Linked DNA regions of Kluyveromyces lactis. The protein of the gene in region 3 interacts with the protein of the main gene of each other region in a biochemical or structural test. Links are inferred from orthologs where the notes say so. Each region holds a gene or a part of one and is shown on either strand. Other genes may lie near its edges. The genes, in order: VAC17, CMD1, KLLA0_A03905g and ACT1.

Evidence for each region.
Region 1: the proteins of KLLA0_A03905g (region 3) and VAC17 form a complex in vitro, tested with the Saccharomyces cerevisiae proteins (3 studies listed by BioGRID). The link is inferred for Kluyveromyces lactis from reciprocal best matches to the Saccharomyces cerevisiae genes MYO2 and VAC17.
Region 2: the proteins of KLLA0_A03905g (region 3) and CMD1 form a complex in vitro, tested with the Saccharomyces cerevisiae proteins (2 studies listed by BioGRID, with this or other methods). The link is inferred for Kluyveromyces lactis from reciprocal best matches to the Saccharomyces cerevisiae genes MYO2 and CMD1.
Region 4: the proteins of KLLA0_A03905g (region 3) and ACT1 form a complex in vitro, tested with the Saccharomyces cerevisiae proteins (3 studies listed by BioGRID). The link is inferred for Kluyveromyces lactis from reciprocal best matches to the Saccharomyces cerevisiae genes MYO2 and ACT1.

Annotation. Positions count from the first base shown.
Region 1 is NC_006039.1:32,731-35,873, forward strand, and holds VAC17 (Vac17p), read left to right. Parts: upstream 1-1,217; coding exon 1,218-2,600; downstream 2,601-3,143. Other genes in the region: L-serine/L-threonine ammonia-lyase CHA1, read right to left, coding at 1-411; chromatin-modulating protein MRC1, read right to left, coding at 2,667-3,143. UniProt on the Saccharomyces cerevisiae protein: Vacuole-specific MYO2 receptor required for vacuole inheritance. Binds simultaneously to MYO2 and to VAC8, a vacuolar membrane protein, forming a transport complex which moves the attached vacuole membrane along actin cables into the bud.
Region 2 is NC_006038.1:824,666-826,910, reverse strand, and holds CMD1 (calmodulin), read right to left. Parts: upstream 961-2,245; coding exon 517-960; downstream 1-516. Other genes in the region: AIM3 (Aim3p), read left to right, coding at 1-44; ALG1 (chitobiosyldiphosphodolichol beta-1,4 mannosyltransferase), read left to right, coding at 1,623-2,245.
Region 3 is NC_006037.1:347,610-351,888, forward strand, and holds the start of KLLA0_A03905g (myosin family protein), read right to left. Parts: upstream 2,862-4,279; coding exon 1-2,861. Other genes in the region: FRT2 (Frt2p), read left to right, coding at 3,631-4,279. UniProt on the Saccharomyces cerevisiae protein: Myosin heavy chain that is required for the cell cycle-regulated transport of various organelles and proteins for their segregation.
Region 4 is NC_006040.1:460,433-464,138, forward strand, and holds ACT1 (actin), read left to right. Parts: upstream 1-1,293; coding exon 1,294-1,303; intron 1,304-2,083; coding exon 2,084-3,201; downstream 3,202-3,706. Other genes in the region: SND2 (Snd2p), read right to left, coding at 1-539. UniProt on the Saccharomyces cerevisiae protein: Actins are highly conserved proteins that are involved in various types of cell motility and are ubiquitously expressed in all eukaryotic cells.

The DNA.
Region 1 (3,143 bases), on a different chromosome or scaffold from region 3:
TTTCCAATGGTTACCATGAACAACAACATCTGCGCCGTAGGAGCGAATCTTTTCTATAATTCTTGGACGTGTTGCATTCGACACAACTACTGTACAGGGAACGTTCAATTCGAGGGACGCAACCGCCGCCGCCAATCCAGCGTTACCGCCAGAGCTAGCAAACACGTGACCGATTTTTTCAGGCGAGGATTTCTTTATTTCTTCTACCTTTGTAGAGATTAAATGTCCGATACCTCTACTTTTGAAACTACCACTCGGCTGTAAAAATTCATACTTCAAAAGCACTTGAGGGCCTTTACTTCTTTTGAATTGATGTTTCAATAACGGTGTTTTGCTGAACAATTGGGCTTTCATTATTAATCTATTAATACTCGTTTGACTATATGAAGTTGGAAAGATATGGACATACATTTAGCTTTCAAGATGAAGAGGTCGAACTGAAGATTGGATTCAGAGATCATCTCAGCACACCCCCCTAAATATATAAGTCCCTGCTATGAAAGATAACCGAGCATTAGATGGTTGCCTTATCTATACGAAGCATTGAGATGCCTGTCATTTCCTTATAATACAGGTACAAAAAAACTGACAAATGCAAATACAAATCCACTACGGAAATATATATCCGGATATTTGGACTATCTTATTTAAGTTTTTCTCTGTTGGTAGAGATGTCTTCTGTGGTCCCCAAAAAATGAGATCTTGAGAGCCCAAAACCCCAGACCTCCAAAATAGGCAAACCACGAAACATTTTTCCAAATTTGTCGGCAGCTCATCTCATTGTTCTCGAGACAAAAAAAATATGAAATCAGAAAACAATACACCATGCCAGATTAGATTTGATGTTCAAGATGGTTAGAAGGTAAGAAGAAATGAGGAACTAGTAACAAGACAAAGAGCGAAATAATGGACATATTCTACTGACTTGAAGATCTCTCCGTTTTTGTTTCAATTTAAATTTCAGACTGGTATAAGCATGTTCTCATTCTCTTAACAGCTCTGAGTAAATAATCATTAGAAGTGTATTTTTTATTATTTTTTTCTTGTCTCTTTTGGACTGTTTTTTTTCCTTTTGACTAAATAGCCATACCCATACACAGTTTATCTGTCTGTTCAGCATAGATACAGCACAACACACCATCTTGTAAGTAAGAGATCTAGTGAGAGGGGGGGTGAAACTGAATTAAGAGTTAGAAGAGTGTTGTTACTCGAAAGGAATGGAAGATATGAGGTACGTAGCCGAGAGGCTAGTTATCCGGTGTAATGAAGCCGTTATGCAACTTGAGCTGTCCATCCAGCGAAAGATGTGTGAGTTTGATCCAAACAATTCTCACTGTTTTATACAGGTACAGGAGTACTATTCATTCCTGGCAAGACTAAGCTCTTTGAAGTTACGTGCTGAGCATGTTCAAGAAAGTCTACGTCACCAAAGGAAAGATCCAAATGATGTCTGTATCGAATATGAGACTTTGGAGAAACTGATCTACGAATTTCAAGATATAACAATGAGTTTAAACGAAGTGGCCAGGGCATATCAAAGTCCTACAAAATCAGCTCGTTCAGGGTCCAGTAAAGAATCATCTGTTATCCCTTTGAAAACCCTGAAGATCATTGAAAGGAACAGGGATTCTTTAATAGGCACTTCTCCAATGAAAAAAAGCCTATCCCAGCTGAAAAAGGAAGAACACAATCAGTCACTACCAGCAAAGAGAAATGTGAGGTTTCAAGAAGATGATTTAGATATTTTGCACCATTTGCATTCTGTAAAAAGAGCCAATTCTTTACCTGGATCACCAATGCCGGATACACTACTGGAATCGCAGATGTTCTCCCGAGAACATAAAACTCTTCGAATGGCGAAATCATATGATGTGGGCTTGAATGGTAGAGCAAAGAAGAATGCGGACTGGGAATTCTTCAAAAACAAAAACCGTTTATCACTGTCAGTTTTTGATGATGTAAATACAGATGCTAGTGATGAAGAAACCGTAATATCGGTATCCCCACCAAATATATCATATTATCTATCCCAAAATGAAGATCAATATCCATCTAAACAGGTAAGGCGCTGTAATTCTCATGAAAGCATTCTTTCTAGGAAAATTCTATCACCTTCAACTCCAGCTAACCTAATAATGAGACCAACGTACCAATCTGTTTGGCAGAAAAAGGCCATCGTCACAAAACCAACAATAAGCTGTAGTACTTCGAATTCAACCGCTTCGCCAACTATCGGGTCACCGCATCTATCAAAAGATATGTTGAGCCAGTTCGTAACAGCTCCACCATCTAAGAAGTATAGAGGATGGTTCAGTTCGTCCAACTCAACCCCATTTGCATCCTCTATTTTTCAAAAGTGGTTTAATTCGGACTCTCTAGTAACGAAAGAAATTGGAAATCCTGATAATTCGTCTCCATCGAGTGGACGACCCATTGTGGAAAATCGACAACGGCATTCAAGCTCTAACAGTTACTCTACATCGATAGTAATAGGACCGAATGGCGCAAAGTTCATCCGTGGGCTAAATGACCCATTAGTAACTTGTACTGTTTCATATAATGAACTTCAAGAGGCATTGAACACTGAATTTAACTTCTGATATAATGATTATACAAATGTAATTTTAAGAGATTTTATAATGAAATTGACATATTAGTTGGATGGGTCAGGTGAAACTATCGGAATTGGAGTCAAACAAGCTAGATGTTGGTTTGCGTACCAACGGTGTGGATTTTCGGCCTTGGGGTGCCTTCAATTTTCTCTTTTTACCCAAGAAAGTGATGGCAGATCGAGAACCAGAGGCTACTCTATAAGATTTAGATATAGTAACAGTTTTGATCCCCGTTTTGAACTTGTCATTAACATCTGAGTTTGACGAAAAAGACTTTACGATGCTGGGCAATTTGAAGTCCAGAGATGTACCATCCACATCATCAAAGAAGGCGGAGTTTCTATTCCTTTGAGGGGAATCGAGAGATTTAATATTGCTTCGCTGTTTCAAAGATTCCAAATCCTCAGTTGCATCATGTGCTGCTTCAGTGACCTCAAATTCATTGATATCATCATCTTTTGCACTTAAAAACGATAATGAACTCTGAACAAACTCTTCTGATATGACAATTTTCTTCTTTCCCATCTCATC
Region 2 (2,245 bases), on a different chromosome or scaffold from region 3:
ATGTAGTTCCTGCAGAAAGGGATCATATTCATAAGTCCAAATAACTTTAAACACATTAGTGGCATTTACTCGCATCGCAAAAAAAAATAAAGAGTTTTATAAACAGTCATACACCGAGACAGCATACTTACCACTGAAGTCCCGTTAAGGGCTCAAAAACGCGGCTGCAAATTATATAATTATTTATAGATAGGGACTAAAGAACACGCATTATCATTATTCTTTTTAGTGTTTTACATTTCATCTTATTATCATTTAAGCTATTATTTCACAGGATGGCATTCAACATCCACTACTGTATACACATGTACGAATGATCATCGTTTTATATTAATGGATTTACACAGCATTTGTAAAGCTATTTGCAGTAAGAGCGTTGTAGCAGCAACTATTTACTTGAAACGTTGTGCTTGTGCGTAATTTGAGCGATGGAAAGATGAAAAGTAAAAAGTAATGAGGAACGAAAGGTAAAGGAGAACCAGAGTATTACATCCGATGAAAGAGCAATTAAGCGATCTATTTGGATAGAAGGGCAGCAAATTGTTTGATGTTAATTTCACCCGAGCCATCGCTAACTTCTCTCAACATTTCATCGACTTCCGCATCGGTCAATTTTTCACCAATCGACGTCAAAACATGTTTCAACTCTGCAGCAGAGATCAAACCATCCCCGTTCTTATCAAACACCTTGAAAGCTTCCAACAACTCTTGTTCCGAATCGTTACACTTCAATTGTCTGGACATTAACGCTAAAAACTCACTGAATTCAATGGCATGGTTACCATCAACATCAATTTCGTTCATCAAGTCAGCAACTTCGGCTTCACTGGGCGAAAGACCCAAAGATCTCATCACGGTAGCCAACTCACTAGCAGAAATGGAGCCGCTATTATCCTTATCGAACAAGGCAAATGCCTCTTTGAATTCTGCAATTTGTTCCTCTGTTAAATTCTGCGACATTTTATTTTCCTTTTGATCCTACTAATACGCAATCTGTGTGTGGTAAATGAATATCTGGTAATCCAGGACTGGAATGGAACAATAAACAGACCCTTATGGTTACCTAATAACAACTGTTTTCTTTTGTTGAGATCCAAAACTTTAACTGCAAGTAGAGAATTAAAACAAACAGACGTTTAAAGGATCGAAATTAATTTGGATTTCAAATCGAAAAATGAACACCTAAACTGTCAATACGGGAAAAAGACGTTATTTACGTATTAACAGCGGGAAAGGTAGTAAATATAGAAACACAAACGCGTCTACTTTCTTCGACACAGCAATTGAGAAGTCGGTTATCTGATGTTGAATGTAAGGGACGATTAATAGATACTGATATACGGTGTCATTAGCTTCTGGCGTCCTACGTTTCCCCTTTTTTTTCAGCCTTCGCCTGATGTGATTGGGATTTTGCGTTCAAATGAAAACTTTTCGCAGGATAATCTGGTTACCCGGACATAGAACGCATTACCAAATTTCCCATAAACAGCGAGTCTCTCTTTTAAGTTTTATCTGATGATCTCTGCCAAACGGCTGATTGATCCTCCCATCATCTTTACACGAATTATTGTACGGATTGTCAACTACAAGGCAGCATTCATACTAATTTTAAGGTATACCTTATGTCTGTTTTTGGATTTGATAACATTCCGACGTGGCTTTGGTGGTTGTTGGCGATTTATTTGGCAACACCGTTTGTGCTTTACGTTGTACAACCCTATTTGTTTTATGAGGGTAAAAGTACGAAAACCAGGATACTGATAGTTGTTCTCGGTGATTTGGGTCATTCACCAAGGATTTTATACCATGCAAGAAGTTTCAGCAAAGCTGGGTTTCAGGTAGAGCTATCAGGGTACGTTGATTCAGATATTCCAACCGATATACTGGATGATGACAATATTGAAATTCATGGATTGAAGAAATATGGTTCTGAAAAAGGGTTACTGGTAAAGGCATTAAAACAAGGATTACAACTTTGTTCCATGTTCTGGAAACTTAGGGCAGTCGATTATATCCTTTTGCAAAACCCACCAACGATTCCTATCTTACCAATAGCTGTTGTTGTTAAGACATTTTCAAGGGCAAAATTAATCATCGATTGGCATAACCTGGGTTACACTATATTGCAAATGAAATTTAAAGACCAGTTTTTACATCCGTTGGTACTCTTGGCGTATTTGATCGAATGGATTTTTGCCAAGTTTGCTAATTACCATTTAACGGTGACTAAAGCTATGAAAACGTA
Region 3 (4,279 bases):
GAAGCAAGAGATTCCGTCAATTCAATGACCTTGTTTTCAAGTTTATAACTGACTTCCTGTAGGTGATTAACGGATTTGGCTTCCGATTTTAGTTGTTTTAACTTTCTTTGAGCATAGTGCTTTCTAATGAAAGATTGGATGACCACGGTGCCCTTCTTCTCATGTAGGAAACTTTTTCTTGGTTGGAAAGATCTTACGCTCTTTTGAATCGTAACAGCGGCATCGCCTCTGCGCCTTTCCAATAACTCTTTACAGGTAATTTGCTTTCTAGCCATGGATTGAATTCTAATGATGCTGATGATTATACTGGAAACGTTATCCCTCACAGAAATACCTCTATAGGCACTTTGAATCAATAGAGCTGCATTATTCTTGAATTCGTTCTCAGTTCTTAATCTTATGATCTTACCACTAACGTTTGCCTGTAGCCTTTTGATTGCATCGACAGTCCGTAGATATGTTTTACGATAGTGAAGACCCTTAATTTTTTTCTGGATCATGACAGAGGATGAGAATAACTTATCGGTTCTTAGCTTTTCCAAATGTGCTAGCATACCAGCTTTGAAGAAAATTTTTGTATTACCAGCCTGATACTTTGCAGTATCATCCATTGTACGTTTCAGGATCTCCTTACATAAGTTCTTTACATCTTCTTCAGATGGATCCGATAGTAAAATATTTGACCAAAGCTCTGATGGTACTAATATATGGTATCTGAGGGCAAACTCTGTGTATGTCCACCTCGATGGGAACCCTGCACAAGAAATTCTAATTGTTTCCAAGACACCACATGCTCTAAGCTGTGACAAAACCATAAGATTGTCAAACTTCCATGCTTCTTTGTCTTCGTTAGGTTTGATACAACGAATGTAGTGAACGTTAGTGGAGTTGATAGTTTCCATAAGATCGATCAACGATTGTTTAAACATAGATCCTAGAGTTGGTTTTCTTACGATTTTTCTTGAGGCTGGACCGGGTTTCTTTTGACTTTCTTGCTTTTGGGCTTGTTTCTCTGCCAATTTTTCCGCATTTTTGTCAACAGTTTCCAAAATAGATAGTAAAGTTTCGTTGTTAGAAGCCTTTAACACTTCAAGATGTCCATCAGAAACTGTATCTCTATTCTTTTCGATAAATCCGTCTACATCATAAGTGACGTCCAATGCATAATGGCTAACAATAAATTGAGTTTGGCCGAATCTTGGTTTGGAGAATACTTCATTAGTTGGAGGTTTATTCAAAGTTTCATATAGTTTATGCGTCCATCCTTCATCCGTACCAGCAGGTAATCTTGATTCTTCGTCTAATAATGATAAAATACCAACTTTGTTCTCAATTAAGTCAATACACGGTTGATTATCGTTGAACTCGATAAACGACCATTCAATCTGTTCCTTTACGTACTCCTCTTGTTCTAGTTTGAAAACATGTTGGTTGAACTCTTGTTGCAACTTTTCGTTAGCGTAATTGATACAGAACTGTTCGAAAGAATTCTTTTGGAAATGTTCAAAACCATAGATATCCAAGACACCGATAAAAGTATATATCTCGCTTACCACTTCAGGGTTACATAGCACGGTGTTTATGTTGTCCACTAACCAATCGAATAATGCTGAATATATGAATTTCGCCACAGAATCACGAGAAACTATGGCTTGGTGGTAAGGTAGGGATGAGACGATCTTTTCAGACCTGGTAACGATCTGTTTCTTCGTTACCCATTTAGCGAAATCAAAAGCGTCTATACCTAACAAATCTGCCGCTATTTGTAGGTTTGGTTCATCAGATGACAAAGAAGCATCATTTCTGACCTTTTTAACTTCGATGTTACCAATATGAAGAAGGGCCGCCAAGATTTTAAACAGCTGGAATTGAGTATCCTTTGAGATACCAACCAAACTCAATGCTTCCACAGTATCACCGTATTCAGAGGCGTCATCGACACCTTCGATATGAGAGTCACCGCCCTGATTCATATAATGGTAGTCTTGTATGTCTGTAAGTTTCAACTGAGATTTTTCATCGTCGGATAAACCTGATAATATTTGATAGAAAATGTGGTAATTCCTTTCAGTTTTCGGTTGGAAAACCAACCTAGAACGTTCCAACAAATATGTTCTCACTCTGGCACCAATGATTGAAGTATCGTCATCGAAGAGAATTTCCAAATATTTACCGAATCTGGAAGAGTTGTCATTCCTAATAGTCTTAGCATTACCGAATGCTTCCATGATTGGATTAGTGGCCAATATCTTCTTTTCAGTTTCAGACATTTCCAAATTATGATGTGCGTTTTCCTCATTATTTTCTTCCACACTAGCGAAATATCTCATAATATATTTAGCCGAAACAGTCTTACCTGCACCGGATTCACCAGAAACGATGATTGTTTGGTTCTGATCTGTTGTCTTCATCAACCTATACGCTTCCTCTGCGATAGCAAAAAGATGTGGTTCCAATTCACCTCTAAGTTTCCCTGCATATGCCTGGATCATCTCCTGAGAATATAGTTGATCCACACGATCAAAGGGATTTGTGGCAATGAGCACGATCCCTGAATAAGTATAGATATTCAACTGGGCATATCTGGCCTTAATAGCATGTAAAACTGCCGGTTCATTCAAATATGACAATGACGTCAAATCCTCCGTAGTCTCAAGGATTGGAGGGTTCCTAAGTAGGGGTAAACTAGGCTCTTTGGTTTCATCTAAAGAAGACACTAAAAGCTCTACTTTCTGTCCATCCTCCAAAGTCAATTCCAAATTATAGGAATCTCCCTGCAAGGTATGTTTAGTAACTTCAGCACCGATCCATCCTTGATCTTTGCTGGGATACCAGCAGCGAGTCCCGACTTCGTACGGCATCCTATGCTGATTAACGCTTAAAACCTGAAATCTAAGATCAAATCAAATAACCAATAATTGAATCAGAAAAAGCCAACGAGCACTCAATTGAATCTGCAATGACACACGGCAATTAAAATCAAAACAGTCTCCTATTGCTTCGTACTGCTAGTCACAAGGATACACGGTGTCAGATGCCTCGCTCCCTGTATTTTCCGCTCTACTCTTCTCCTGAAACTCGTGAATCTAAATAAAACACATATAAATCAAATAAGATATATATTTGTTGTTCAAAAGATCCCACTTTTTTTTTGTTTTTTTTTTTTCCCTTCTGTTGTCCCAAGAGCTTTTTAAGTGGACTAAACAAATAGCAGGGATTCAACCTTTCGCGTCAGCGCGCCAGCAACGGATAAGCATGCAGTGAGGTAAACTTGTAGGGATATTTTCGCCTTGGTGGGGCGAATATTTGCTTATGGGGCCTCAAATTAGCCTTTTAAAAGGGTGATTTTTAGTCACGTGTAAATCACATGCACTATCCGGGTAATAGCGTTCCTGGTTCGTCTCTTCATCAGACAATTTCTATTCCAACATGAATAGAGGAAGTCGGTAGGTGGAGATAAGGCGCAGCTATCAAATAAGAATTAGATAGCAGCCTGGTTTCATTTCGTGGCGAGTAAAGACGAAAATATTTCATGGAATGAGGTTTTAGAGTTGAAATATTTTTGCTGAGGAGATTACTTTGTGAATAGGAACTTTAAACTCAAACTCAAACTCAAAAATTCGAAGTCTAATGGAGGTTAGCCATCGTGAACATACCAACCATATTGGATCCCAGGTTAACCCTTTGTTCCGCGGGTCCGTATTTCATAAGAATGATGCCGCAGATCTACGAGTCCCTTGGGATGGGAAACGTCGTAAATCTGGTGCTTCGATCAATTCTAAGACTCAGATGGGGGATTTGACCGAATTCAATCCGTCTCATCATGCCAGTAATAAAAACATTTACCATGACGATATTACGTGTGGTTCTTTAAGGTTTAGTGATGCGTTATTAGATGGCTCGTTCAAATGTCAGGATGAGCATTCTAGCAATAGATCTGGACATATGGCTAGTAGTAAACCGGGGAGCGGTAACAGTAGTCTGGGTCTTCTAAAAAATCAATCATACTCTAACATATCAATTTCCTCCACTCAATCATTTAAGAAAACGCACACGAAACTGTTAAATTTCTCTCAGTTGAAGCCCGACCTCACAACAGCATCGTCTTTTGAATCACAACCTTCTAAGGGCAACTCTTTGGCAAGACAGTTTCTTGAGACCGCTTCAAAGGCAAAATGCAACAGAGAGATAATACCGACCTTATTTTATTCCCCATCTGCCAACAGCTGCGGTGATACTTCTGGAGCGCTTGATTATTTGTCATCAGGGTTTACTGACA
Region 4 (3,706 bases), on a different chromosome or scaffold from region 3:
TATCTTACCTGAGATTTATCACCACGTTTTTCCCTCTTCAATTGTCTCTTTGATTTGGAAGGTTCAGCGGGCGTTGTCTCTGCGAGATCCGCCTTTGAAGCTGAGGCACCGGGGAAATACTGTTGCTTCAAGTAGTACAACTTGTAGAAAATAAACGCAGGGCACACTAATACCAAGAACCACCATTTCATCGTGTTGAAGAAAACTGTTCCCAGGTTACAGAACAAGGAAACATACACGATATCTTTCATGTATTCAGTGAGTCCACCAGATTCCAAATCGAACCCTTCATTAACTAGTTTATATTTTCCATGCGCAGCGTTACTGACTTCATATTTTGGTCTACCGGTACGTTCGAGAATATATAAACATAACAACATCGGCACATTGAAAAGAATAGGTTTTAGGGTTGAAATCAGCCCATTACTGAACCATTTCCTCAATAACGTTAAAGATAGTATAGCGACGACTAGTACGTGCAACTGCTTTAAGATGGCTGCGTTCTTTGCAGCAATCTTCTTGGACGATTTTCCAGCCATTCTACAATGGGTGGGTGAGATTCTTCAGAGATAGAGATAGATGTACATAAATGTACTGTCGAATATTAACCTGATCTATTAATACCTTCCCGTTGCTTCAATGATAGTTGATGATGATCCACGTAACATATATTCACGTATAGATTTCAACTGCCGAGTCATTATAATCCGGGTAACGTACATATATGTCACGTGATTTTGAATATACACATTAATATACGGAGGATTAAGACGATATGCGGTCATAATGAATTGTAAAATAAACCAGATGTACTAACATCCAGAGATCGATAACTGCCTCATGAATACAATATACTACGATATAACTATTCTACCGACAGCCTACCAACGTTATATCAAACTTCCAGCCTTCACAAAGCCTTCAATTGCAAGTCCGCCCCTCCAGCTGTACAGTGAATCCCACGTAACCACTAGAAAACCATTACCGCAACTGCTCCGCCTCGTGGACAATGACAATCGTCTCCTATTTTTCATCAGAATTCTTTTTTTTTTTTTAATTTGTTTTTTCGAAATTTTCTCTTCTGTTTCTCTGGACAGCTAGTGCGATTTATTGTATGAGAGAGTTTGAAATTTGATTTAATTTACAAGAAAAATAAGAAATATCTTGATTTGTTTCCTCCTTCTTTACTGTCTTTTACGATCCAAAGAGAAGAAAGGTTGTTTCAGAATAACGGTTTTTTTGTTGATTGCAAAAGGAATTGTACAACATCTTCACGCGCTATAGTATAACAATATGGATTCTGGTATGTGTGGAAACGTATATTTGATTACGGTGGGTTAATTGGGTGGTTAAAAAGTTTGGATATGTTTTATTACTTTGTTAGGTTTCCGGTTAAATGTTGGGAGGGAAAAGATAGGATAATGGCAGCGCTTTGCGCTGCCATTGTCCATTCTCTAACTCCCTAAATCAGATTTAGAATTAGATGTACAACGCTAATTGAATGGGTTTTTTTTATATATAGGGGTTTGGATTAGAAGCTTTGTTCGAGAATTGGATCTTTCATTTCCTGGTTCTACCTTCTTACTATAACGTGTTTTTCTTGGGTTTTGGGTGACTAACTTTGGATTTTGGGTTTTTTTTACCTGATTTAGGAGGCGAATTGGAAAGAAATTTGGAAAATATAGGCAAAAAAAGATAATTTGATGTCACGTGATGATGTGATTTTATATTACAATGTTATTCCTTCCAGTCCAAGAAGGAATCAAAGTACACCTTTAAGTGGTGCAGGCATTGCCCCTCGTGGTTCGGTTGTCCCTATTTTTTTTTTGATTTATTTTTCTGGTTGCTAAGGTTAGCCCCTATTTTGTCCGCGACAGGACTTTTAGCGTTGAACAATCACATAACCTCATGATCACCCAAAATGCACCTGTTACTTTTGTTTTCTTATCTTATGTTACTAACAATTATTTTTCTATTTGGGATGGCTGAATTCACTTTTTTGGAACACCTAACCTACCCAAACGTACGGTTTAGTTCCTTAATCTGCATTCTGCTACTCGTGATGGTTTTTTATTCTAAACAGAGGTCGCTGCTTTAGTTATTGACAACGGTTCTGGTATGTGTAAAGCCGGTTTCGCCGGTGACGACGCTCCAAGAGCCGTCTTCCCATCCATCGTCGGTAGACCAAGACACCAAGGTATCATGGTCGGTATGGGTCAAAAAGACTCTTACGTTGGTGACGAAGCTCAATCCAAGAGAGGTATCTTGACTCTACGTTACCCAATTGAACACGGTATCGTTACCAACTGGGATGATATGGAAAAGATCTGGCATCACACCTTCTACAACGAATTGAGAGTTGCTCCAGAAGAACACCCAGTTTTGTTAACCGAAGCTCCAATGAACCCAAAGAACAACAGAGAAAAGATGACTCAAATCTTGTTCGAAACTTTCAACGTTCCAGCCTTCTACGTCTCTATCCAAGCTGTTTTGTCCTTGTACTCTTCTGGTAGAACCACTGGTATTGTGTTGGATTCTGGTGACGGTGTTACCCACGTTGTTCCAATCTACGCCGGTTTCTCCTTGCCTCACGCTATCTTGAGAATCGACTTGGCTGGTAGAGATATCACCGACTACTTGATGAAGATCTTGGCTGAACGTGGTTACTCTTTCTCTACTACCGCTGAAAGAGAAATCGTCCGTGACATCAAGGAAAAGCTATGTTACGTCGCTTTGGACTTCGAACAAGAAATGCAAACTGCTTCTCAATCATCCGCTGTTGAAAAGTCTTACGAATTACCAGATGGCCAAGTTATCACTATCGGTAACGAAAGATTCAGAGCTCCAGAAGCTTTGTTCCATCCATCTGTTCTAAGTTTGGAAGCTGCTGGTATCGACCAAACTACTTACAACTCCATCATGAAGTGTGATGTTGATGTCAGAAAGGAATTGTACGGTAACATCGTCATGTCCGGTGGTACCACCATGTTCCCAGGTATTGCTGAAAGAATGCAAAAGGAAATTACCGCCTTGGCTCCTTCTTCTATGAAGGTCAAGATCATCGCTCCTCCAGAAAGAAAGTACTCTGTCTGGATCGGTGGTTCTATTTTGGCCTCTTTGACCACTTTCCAACAAATGTGGATCTCAAAGCAAGAATACGACGAATCTGGTCCATCCATCGTTCACTTGAAGTGTTTCTAATCTCCTTCACTTTTTTTTACTTGACACTCTTATAAAAAGAATACAATTAAAATAAACGATGAATCGATTCATATAGATGAACCCAAAAATTGAAGCTTATGAAACAAAAAACTAACAATTATTAAAACTTCATATAGGGACGATTTTACTCCAAATCTTCTTTGTTTTTATAATTTTGTTTTGTGTGTTGTTTTTATTTATCTTCGATCGCACAGTCATTATTCAAGTTCCAATCTTCTATCTTATGTTGTTGGAATATTCTACTTCATATAAATGAAGTGGGTAGTTTAGTATGAAAGTTAATAAGTTAATAAGCCGAGATTATATACGAACGAAATTCAAATTCAACATTAAAATTAAACAACTCCAATTGAAAGTTATATACGGCAATTATTGAATATTCGTGCGAGGCTAATTGCTTAAGTTGATCATCTGATAATTTGAAAAGGATTTAAAATCATCATATGTTCCAGAACAAAGATTTTTAGTGTTGAAAGTTATTCTT